Macaca fascicularis: one gene and its partner. The protein of the gene in region 1 binds, or shares a complex with, the protein of each later gene. Links are inferred from orthologs where the notes say so. Each region holds a gene or a part of one and is shown in the gene's direction. Other genes may lie near its edges.

Region 1 (4,763 bases):
GAGATCAGGAGAAAATGCCAGGAACTGAAAAAAACACTGTTAGATCATCTTTTTAAATAAACATGTCACTATCTCTAGCTTAGATGGGGTTTTTTCCCCCCTAAATGGGCTTTGAAACACTTTACATCTAAACATAATGACAAAAATTAACTGTATGCTATTTAATTTTTAAAATGGCTTCTAAAGTTTAGAAACACACTGTTGAAACAATCACTATTTCTGAGAGTGCCTGGGATTTTTAATGTAAATGCAAAGAACATCTTTCCTGAGTACAAGACTCAGGAGGCTGAGGCACGAGAATCGCTTGAACCCAGGAGATGGAGGCTGCAGTGAACCGAGATTGCACCACTGTCCTCCAACCTGGGCAACTCTGTCTCACAAGACTGAAATCTGTGTTGCATGAAATGATTGCCTTTTATTTGAACAATTGTTCTTTTCTGCACAATTCTTGGAGCCTTGGTCAAATATCTACTACTAAATTCGATAAAACTCTTTTTATAATATTTTTTTAAAAGCTGAATCTAGCTGTGCTTGTGCTGCAGAAAACTGTTATTGGGCATGTTTCTGTTTTAAACTAAAGATTGTACACATCCAATGGCACTTATTACTGGGAAGATTTTTGACAATCAAAAATTATTTTATTATGGCTGAGCACCGGTGGCTAATGCCTGTAATCCCAGCATTTTGGGAGGCCAAGGTGAGTGAATCACTTGAGGCCAGGAGTTCGAGACTAGCCTAGCCAACATGGTGAAACCCTATCTCTAAAATATAAAAATTAGCTGGGCATAGTGGTACGTGCCTGTAATCTCAGCTACTCAGGAGGCTGAGGCATGAGAATCGCTTGAACCCGTACTCCAGGCTGGGCAACAGAGTGAGATTCTGTCTCAAAAAAAAACAGTTACTTGAGTATGATGAAGAGGAGGAAGAGCAAATCAGACTAAACTCCACAAGAAATAACTACAGTCTTGTGGCCTAAAAGTTTGGGGAGCAACATAAATGTTATATGATTAATTTTAACCGAGGTTGCAACTGGCACATGTTCCTAAATTTGAACAATGACTTTTTACTTTTAGACAACGAAGAGTTATATTTATTGACATGGATATTAGTCTTGTCCTTTCAAAAAAAAAATCTTTGGAAATAATGCTTCTCATTTGTCAATATAGGAAAAGTGTCTTAGTTTTCCTGACCAAGGAGGGATCTAGGGAGCGATACGGTGAAAAACTGTCTTATATATTGACTTAAAGTCAACCTTGAAAAACACATTAATTTCTATAAAGTATGGAATATGCCAATCAATGAACCAATCCACAAATACTGAAAAGACCATGTGGTTTCAAGGATGGCCTGCACAGCTGGCATATGTTCTGTATGTGTATTTACGGAATAAATAGCTGGTGGATTCTGAACATTTATGGTTGTCATACAGGCACCAATTTATTCTTCGTTGCTGCTCATGAACTTGGCCACTCCCTGGGGCTCTTTCACTCAGCCAACACTGAAGCTTTGATGTACCCACTCTACAACTCATTCACAGAGCTGACCCGGTTCCACCTTTCACAAGATGATGTGAATGGCATTCAGTCTCTCTATGGTGAGTGATGCTGGAAAAATTAGGCATTGTAGCTCTGCAACGACAGTCCTCAAGAAAGCTTTCCAATGCTACCTAAAGTATTTCTGATTTAGCTTGAAGCACTTTGAGAATGTTTGAAAGGCATACAAATTGACAGATGCATCACATTTTTTAAATGTTTGCATCCCCAAATCTGTCTCCTTTAGGACCTCCCCCTGCCTCTACTGAGGAACCCCTGGTGCCCACGAAATCCGTCCCTTCAGGATCTAGGACGCCAGCCAAGTGCGACCCTGCTTTGTCCTTCGATGCCATCAGCACTCTGAGGGGAGAATATCTGTTCTTTAAAGACAGGTCAGACCAGAAAATTATATTTTTCTGTCTATTCTTTTGATGTACAGTGCTTAGAAAGGAAAACAGAAATTTGATAGAGGTTTTTTTTAAAAAACTTTTATTTTAGGTTCAGGGCTACATGTGCAGGTTTGTTATATAGGTAAATTCGTGTCATGGGGGTTTGTTGTACAGATAATTTTGTCATCCCAGTGCTAAACCTAGTACCCGGTAGTTACTTTTTCTGCTTGACAGAGATTTTTTTAAATACAAAATTTTCTCTATATTTTAAAATCATTCAGATCTAGTTCTTGTTGAATTTTTAACATCCTGTTAGAATTGTCCAGGTCATTTTTTACACTTACAAGGGATGATTCTAGACTGTAAGCTTGATTAAGGCAGGGAGTTATATCTGTTTTGTTCATTTTTTAAAATATAAATCATGGAACTTCTTCAGAAAGCACTGGTGAATCCTTAGAAACAGGGTGATATCTTTCCCTTTGCTAAAAATTGCTACTACTTAAATTAATTACTTTTGGAAAAAAGTGATATATGCTTATGGCACAATATTTAGACACTGCCAAAAGATACAGAGTTAAACAATCTCTCTCTAGTCTTTGGTCTACAGTCCCCCAGCTCCCTTCACATGTGTAACCACTGCTACCAATTTCCTTTAACTCTTTACAGAAATGTTCTATTCATATACAAGCATCAATACGCACATAATATTTTTTAAAATATTAGGACATAATATACACACTGTTTATGGACTTTCAGAGTGGAAGCAAGCTAAATAATTTTATTGGAACCAGTCACAAGTCCTGCCATCAATTTTATTACCCTGGAATCACATGCAGGAGGATGGTTTAATATAGACTTCTATGAATGCGTGAATTAGCATGGATTTTTTTTAAAAGAATACTTTTTTTCACATAGCTAAAGGAGAAAGACAATTGCAAGTAATTTTATGTATTACAGATATTTTTGGCGAAGATCCCACTGGAACTCTGAACCTGAATTTCATTTGATTTCTACATTTTGGCCCTCTCTCCCGTCATATTTGGATGCTGCATATGAAGTTAATAGCAGGGATACTGTTTTTATTTTTAAAGGTGAGTACTATATAAGAATTTTCAACTTGCTGGAATAAATCCTAGTGTGAAAATTTTATCGACATGAGTTTTCTCCATTATATTAAAGTTTAGATTACTGCAAGACCTTGTGCTAACACTTAAATAAAATTTGTACAAAGAACATTATAAACTTTATTTTAGAGACCTCTTAAGTGAATAGGTGGTATTCCATATTCATGGATAAAAAATGCAATATAGTAAAAATGTCAATTTATCTATAGATACAAGACATTTTCATTTCAAATGCCAAAAGATTTTTCATGGAACTTGACAAATTAGTTTTACAATTTATACGGCAGCAAAGAGAATAGCCAGGAGGCTCCTGGTGAACCCATCTTATTAGATAAGGAGAAAAGCCCTGTGTTATAAAACTTTAATCAGTAAGATGTAGTATCAGTTCAGGGAGAGATAAATTAACTAATGGAGCTATTCAGGTATGGCGGCTTCTTTATCAGATTTTTAAACTACGGTTTCAATTTGTTTTATTGGTAATATGCTATTTGAGTTTCTATTACTTCTTGAGTCAGTTTTGTTAACATGTTTTTCTAAAAGTTTGCCAATTTTGTCTGTTTTCAAATCCATCAGTAAAAAGTTTTTGGAAAATTATTTTGTTGTAATTTGAATTATTGCTGAAGTTTTGTTCTCTTTTTCATTCCCAATACTGAACCCTTTTGCCTTTCTCTTTTTCTCTTTATTAATCTCATAATGTATGTAATAATGTTATTGATCTTTTCAAAGGACTGACTTTTGGCTTTATTTATCCTCTATATTATATTTTGATTTCCCATTTAACTAATTTCTGTTCATATCCTTATTGTTGCCTTAAGTTTTGTTTACTTTTAATTGATCCTGTTATTATTGTTATAGCTTAAGTTTGATACTTACCTTATTAACTTGTAACTTTTTTCTTTTCTAATATAAGCATTTATACCTATAAATAACCATTTCTTCTTTTTTATTCAGCAAATTTTGATATGCAGTATTTTCATTTTGTTCAATTTTAATTCTTTAATTTCTCATCTTTATTTTTCCCCTAGACTTATAGGTGATATTGGAATATTTTTAAATGTCAAGCTTTATGAAGATTTTAAAAATGTTTATTTCTGGCAATCTCACTTTTGTGAAGATTAAATGAATGTGAAATTGCAATAGAAATTGTAAAGAATTATAACTCTAACATATTATTATCCAGTAATGTATCTCACATTTACATATCACTTGCACTGTGTCAGACACTATGCTCATTAGTGGAGGTCAGGACTGAAAAGGGCTCATATTCTAGAAGGAGCAGCAGAGATGAAGCCATAGGCAGCCTACGTATGACAAGTGCTGGTACTGAGAGAAGGAAGGGTGCCATGGGAGCATCTGACTCATATCCAGGGCTCAGCAAAGATCCCTTAGAGGAAGTGATGTTAGGATGGGTCTTGAAGTTCTCTTTTGCTGTGCAGAGATCGGCTGGGTGTACAGGAAGTAGAAAGATCTCTAAGAAAGAAGAAATTGTTTTTGCCAAGTAAGAGCATATCTGGAACTGCTCAGACACATAAAAGTCATTCAGTTCAGATGAAGCAAGAGAGATAAACAACAGATGGGCATTTTAGATTAGTGAATCTGGCAGTAGTGTGAAGAAGGAATTCAGGCTTGGGGTCCTGGAGAGTGATGTAACAAAGTAAAGGCAGAGAGATGGATGGGATTTTGTTGTCCTAACTCACTAGAATTTGAATGAATTCCAA
Region 2 (4,763 bases), on another chromosome or scaffold:
CTGGCTTTCCAGAGCCTCTTAATCCCGGGGTTCTGATTTAAGACCAGGCTCTGGGAAGGCAGAGTCATCCCAGGAGTGAGGCTGTCTGGCTGGCGACAAAGCCTTTGGCCCCTGGTCCCTGGAGAGCCCTGAGACACATCTCTGTCAAGGGATGTCTGGAGGCCAGGCGCCATGGCTTATGCCTGTAATCCCAGCATTTTGGGAGGCCAAGATGGGCAGGTTACTTGGGGTCAGAAGTTGGAGATCAGCCTGGCCAACATGGTGAAACCTGTCTCTACAAAAATACAAAAATTAGCCGGGTGCGGTGACGCATGCCTGTGATCCCAGCAACTTGGGAGGCTGAGGCTCAAGAATGGCTTGAATGTGGGAGGTGGAGGTTGCAGTGAGCCAAGATCGCGCCACTGTACCCCAGCCTGGGTTGACAGAGTGAGACTCTGTCTTAAAAAAAGAAAAAAAAAAAATGGAGGGGGATGTCTAGAAGGCTAGGAAATTTGAGAGTAAGGCATGAATTCAGCTCTGTTACTTGCCCCTTCCAGAAAAAGGAGCTGTATGGGGAGAATATGGTCCCATGGATCATTTCCTACAAATGCGGATATGCAAACCCTTGTGTGCCTTGTGAGAGGGCACTGCAGGCCTCATGCTTTTTCCAACATTCCCGACATTTTCACACCTGGGTCGGTGTCTACGTGGGGTCTGTGTGTTGAGAACACCTGCTCCTCTTCAAATGAGCCCGGAGGTTGTGCCAGGCACAGTCGTAGCAGCCCGACGCTTGGATGTGACTGTGGAAGGCGAGATCACCACCTCCAGGGCTCCCGGGCTGGCTCCTACCCTGTGGGCTCCTAGCACCCTATCCCCACCCTTCCTGCCGGAAGCATTGCTGAGTGCTGGGCACCTGCCACCCTGGGTCACTCCCAGCGAGTCTGGGACCAGTAGACTCTGGTGAGGCCGTGGGGATTGGCCTTCCTTGGGGAGCTGCCTGGGGCTGCCCTCCCTCCTGACGGCCACCAGCCCCTTCTCAGCATGTTCAAAACAGGAATTCTGAACTCATAGTCTCCAGCCACACATATGTTAAGCAAAACTCCTCTGTGCCCAGCATGAAATCAAAAGCAAGTTCTTCCTTTTTCTTTCCATGGGGCAGTGAAGGCAGTCATCCTCTTGTAGCCTCGGGTTCCTTTGCCAAATTGCTAGTTGCCTATGACCTCAGGGCTCGGCCTTGAGCAGTTCCCAATTCCCGGCCTTTTCACTGGGCTGGAATCTGTCTCCAGGAAACCCAGGCCCTTTTATTGTTGCTATGTCCCCCAGAGGGCAGGGCCAAGCCAGGCCATTCTCTCATGCTCAGGAAGGTAGAAGATGGCCCAAAGGGAAGCACACCTGCAGCAGGAGGGGGGCCCCGGTGGGCGGGGCACAGCTTCCCTGCAGGTAAGACCCCCTCGCAGGCCAGCCGCCTGCCCCTGCAGGAGCTGTGGGTCTCGGGAGAGGCTGCCGTCCCTGCACACCGCAGGTAGGCACATTGCCGGGTTCTGGACATGCCCCCAGAGCAGCCTCTGCCCACCCCTTCCTGGGTCCCTGACTCCGTCCCCCTCTGTGTGCCCCTCCCCAGATCACGCGCTGCCCCATGATCCCGTGCTACATCTCCTCCCCGGACGAGTGCCTCTGGATGGACTGGGTCACAGAGAAGAACATCAACGGGCACCAGGCCAAGTTCTTCGCCTGCATCAAGAGAAGCGACGGCTCCTGTGCGTGGTACCGCGGCGCGGCGCCCCCCAAGCAGGAGTTTCTTGACATCGAGGACCCATAAGCAGGCCTACAACACCCCTGTGGCCAACTGCAAAAACAGCCTCCAAGGGTTTCGACTGGTCCAGCTCTGACATCCCTTCCTGGAAACAGCATGAATAAAACACTCATCCCGTGGGTCCAAATTAGTACAGTTCTGCTCCCCGCTTCTCCTTTTAGACACGGTTGTGGGTCTGGAGGGAGACATGGGTCCAGGGTCCTCATCCCATCCTCCCTCTGCCAGGCACTGTGTGTCTGGGGCTTCGATCCTTGGGTGCAGGCAGGGCTGGGACATGTAGCTTGCCTCCCAGTCCCTGCCTTGGCACCGTCACAGATGCCGAGCAGGCAGCACTTAGGGATCTCCCAGCCGGGTTAGGGCGGGGCCTGGAAATGTGCATTTTGCAGAAACTTTTGAGGGTCGTTGCAAGACTGTGTAGCAGGCCTACCAGGTCCCTTTCATCTTGAGAGGGGCATGGCCCTTGTTTTCTGCAGCTTCCACGCCTCTGGCCCTAGTGTAACACTCCCTGCCCCTGGCAAGTGCCCCCATCACCCCGGTGCCCACCATGACCTCCCAGCACCTGTGGCTCCCCCCACATCCAGGGACAGCCTGGAACCAGCGGCTTATTCTTGAAGGAGCCCCATCAATCCTGTTAATCCTCAGAATTCCAGTGGGAGCCTCCCTCTGAGCCTTGTAGAAATGGGAGCGAGGAACCCCAGCCTCAGCTGAGTCTTTTTGGTCTCCTGCACCCCCCGTCCACATGCTTCCCCAGCCTGCAGGGGGAATTGGTGAGGTCCTGTCCTGAGGCTGCTGTCCGGGGCCGGTGGCTGCCCTCAAGGTCCCTTCCTGAGCTGCTGTGGTTGCCATTGCTTCTTGCCCATTCTGGCACCAGGCACCTGGATTGAGTGGCACGGCTTTGCTTTATCTGGGCTTGTGTGCAGGGCCTGGCTGTGCTCCCCATCTGCACATCCTGAGGACAGAAAAAGCTGGGTCTTGCTGTGCCCTCCTGGGCTTAGTGTTCTCTCCCTCAAAGACTGACAGCCATCATTCTGCACGGGGCTTTCTGCACATGACGCCAGCTAAGTGTAGTAAGAAGTCCAGCCTAGGAAGGGAAGGATTTTGGAGGTAGGTGGCTTTGGTGACACTCTCACTTCTTTCTGAGCCTCCAGGATACTTGGGCCTGTTTTAAGAGACATCTCCTTTTTCTAACGATGAATTCTCAGATGATTCTCAGATGATAGGTGAACCTGAGTTGCAGATATACCAACTTCTGCTTGTATTTCTCAAATGACAAAGATGACCTAGCTAAGAAACTTCTTAGGGAACTAGGGAACCTATGTGTTCCCTAAACATGGTTTCCTGAAGCCCGTGATATGGGGATCAGAATAGGAAGAACTTTCTCGGTAACGATAAGGAGAATCTCTTTTGCTCCCACCTGTGTTGTGAAGATAAACTGACGATATATAGGCACATTATGTAAACATACACACGCAATGAAACTGAAGCTTTTCGGCCTGGGAGTGGTCCTGCAAAATGCTTCCAAAGCCACCTTAGCCTGTTCTATTCAGTGGCAACCCCAAAGCACCTGTTAAGACTCCTGACCCCCAAGTGGCATGCAGGCCCCATGCCCATCGGGACCTGGTCAGCACAGATCTTGATGACTTCCCTTTCTAGGGCAGACTGGGAGGGTATCCAGGAATCGGCCCCTGCCCCACGGGCGTTTTCATGCTGTACAGTGATCTAAAGTTGGTAAGATGTCATAATGGACCAGTCCATGTGATTTCAGTATATACAACTCCACCAGACCCCTCCAACCCATGTAACACCCCACCCCCGTTCGCTTCCTGTACGGTGATATCATATGTAACATTTACTCCTGTTTCTGCCGATTGTTTTTTTAATGTTTTGGTTTGTTTTTGACATCAACTGTAATCATTCCTGTGCTGTGTTTTTTATTACCCTTGGTAGGTGTTAGACTTGCACTTTTTTAAAAAGAGGTTTCTGCATCGTGGAAGCATTTGACCCGGAGCGGAACGCGTGGCCTATGCAGGTGGATTCCTTCAGGTCTTTCCTTGGGTTCTTTGAGCATCTTTGCTTTCATTCGTCTCCCGTCTTTGGTTCTCCGGTTCAAATTATTACAAAGTAAAGGATCTTTGAGTAGGTTCGGTCTGAAAGGTGTGGCCTTTATAGTCGATCCACACACGTTGGTCTTTTAACCATGCTGAGTAGAAAACAAAACAGGTTAAGAAGAGCCTGGTGGCAGCTGAGAGAGGAAGCCGCTCAAATACCTTCACAGTAAATAATGGCAATATATATATAGTTTAAGAAGGCTCTCCATTTGGCATCGTTTAATTTATATGTTATGTTCTAAGCACAGCTCTTTTCTCCTATTTTCATCCTGCAAGCAACTCAAAATATTTAAAATAAAGTTTACATTGTAGTTATTTTCAAATCTTTGCTTGATAAGTATTAAGAAATATTGGACTTGCTGCCGTAATTTAAAGCTCTGTTGATTTTGTTTTCGTTTGGAGTTTTGGGGGAGGGGAGCACTGTGTTTCTGCTGGAATATGAAGTCTGAGACCTTCCGGTGCTGGGAACACACAAGAGTTGTTGGAAGTTGACAAGCAGACTGCGCATGTCTCTGATGCTTTGTATCATTCTTGAGCAATCGCTCGGTCCGTGGACAATAAACAGTATTATCAAAGAGAACGTGGGCTCTCTCTGTGTGGCTGTATCCTACATTCAGAATGGCCACTTTCTAGCTCAAGAATGGGAATCAGCCCCTGCAAGGAACCTTTCCTGTCCAGCGGGAGGGGGCGCCCTGTGTCCTCCAGAGAAACAAGGCCAGTGAGCTCTGAGTCAAATGTGGGATGCAGACTAGGTGCAGTGGCTCACGCCTGTCATCCCAGCACTTTGGGAGACTGAGGCGGGTGGATCGTTTGTGTCCAGGAGTTCGAGACTAGCCTGGCCAACTTAGCAAAACCCCGGCTCT

The links.
Region 2: the proteins of MMP10 (region 1) and TIMP2 are in contact, whole or in part, in a crystal structure (PDB 4ILW), measured with the Homo sapiens proteins. The link is inferred for Macaca fascicularis from reciprocal best matches to the Homo sapiens genes MMP10 and TIMP2. Residues at the interface, in NP_002416.1 of Homo sapiens: Glu155, Asp169, Phe170, Tyr171, Ser172, Pro176, Gly177, His178, Ser179, Leu180, Ala181, His182, Ala183, Tyr184, Pro185, Pro188, Gly189, Leu190, Tyr191, Val214, His217, Glu218, His221, His227, Pro237, Leu238, Tyr239, Phe242; in NP_003246.1 of Homo sapiens: Cys27, Ser28, Cys29, Ser30, Pro31, Val32, Gln36, Ala37, Asn40, Ser57, Gly58, Asn59, Asp60, Tyr62, Asn64, Pro65, Ile66, Lys67, Arg68, Thr91, Ala92, Pro93, Ser94, Ser95, Ala96, Val97, Cys98, His123, Leu126, Cys127.

Annotation. Positions count from the first base shown.
Region 1 is NC_088388.1:101,790,645-101,795,407, reverse strand, and holds part of MMP10 (stromelysin-2), read left to right. Parts: intron 1-1,429; coding exon 1,430-1,594; intron 1,595-1,779; coding exon 1,780-1,924; intron 1,925-2,878; coding exon 2,879-3,012; intron 3,013-4,763. UniProt on the Homo sapiens protein: Can degrade fibronectin, gelatins of type I, III, IV, and V; weakly collagens III, IV, and V. Activates procollagenase.
Region 2 is NC_088390.1:85,257,455-85,262,217, reverse strand, and holds the end of TIMP2 (metalloproteinase inhibitor 2), read left to right. Parts: intron 1-1,600; coding exon 1,601-1,798; 3' UTR 1,799-4,475; downstream 4,476-4,763. UniProt on the Homo sapiens protein: Complexes with metalloproteinases (such as collagenases) and irreversibly inactivates them by binding to their catalytic zinc cofactor. Known to act on MMP-1, MMP-2, MMP-3, MMP-7, MMP-8, MMP-9, MMP-10, MMP-13, MMP-14, MMP-15, MMP-16 and MMP-19.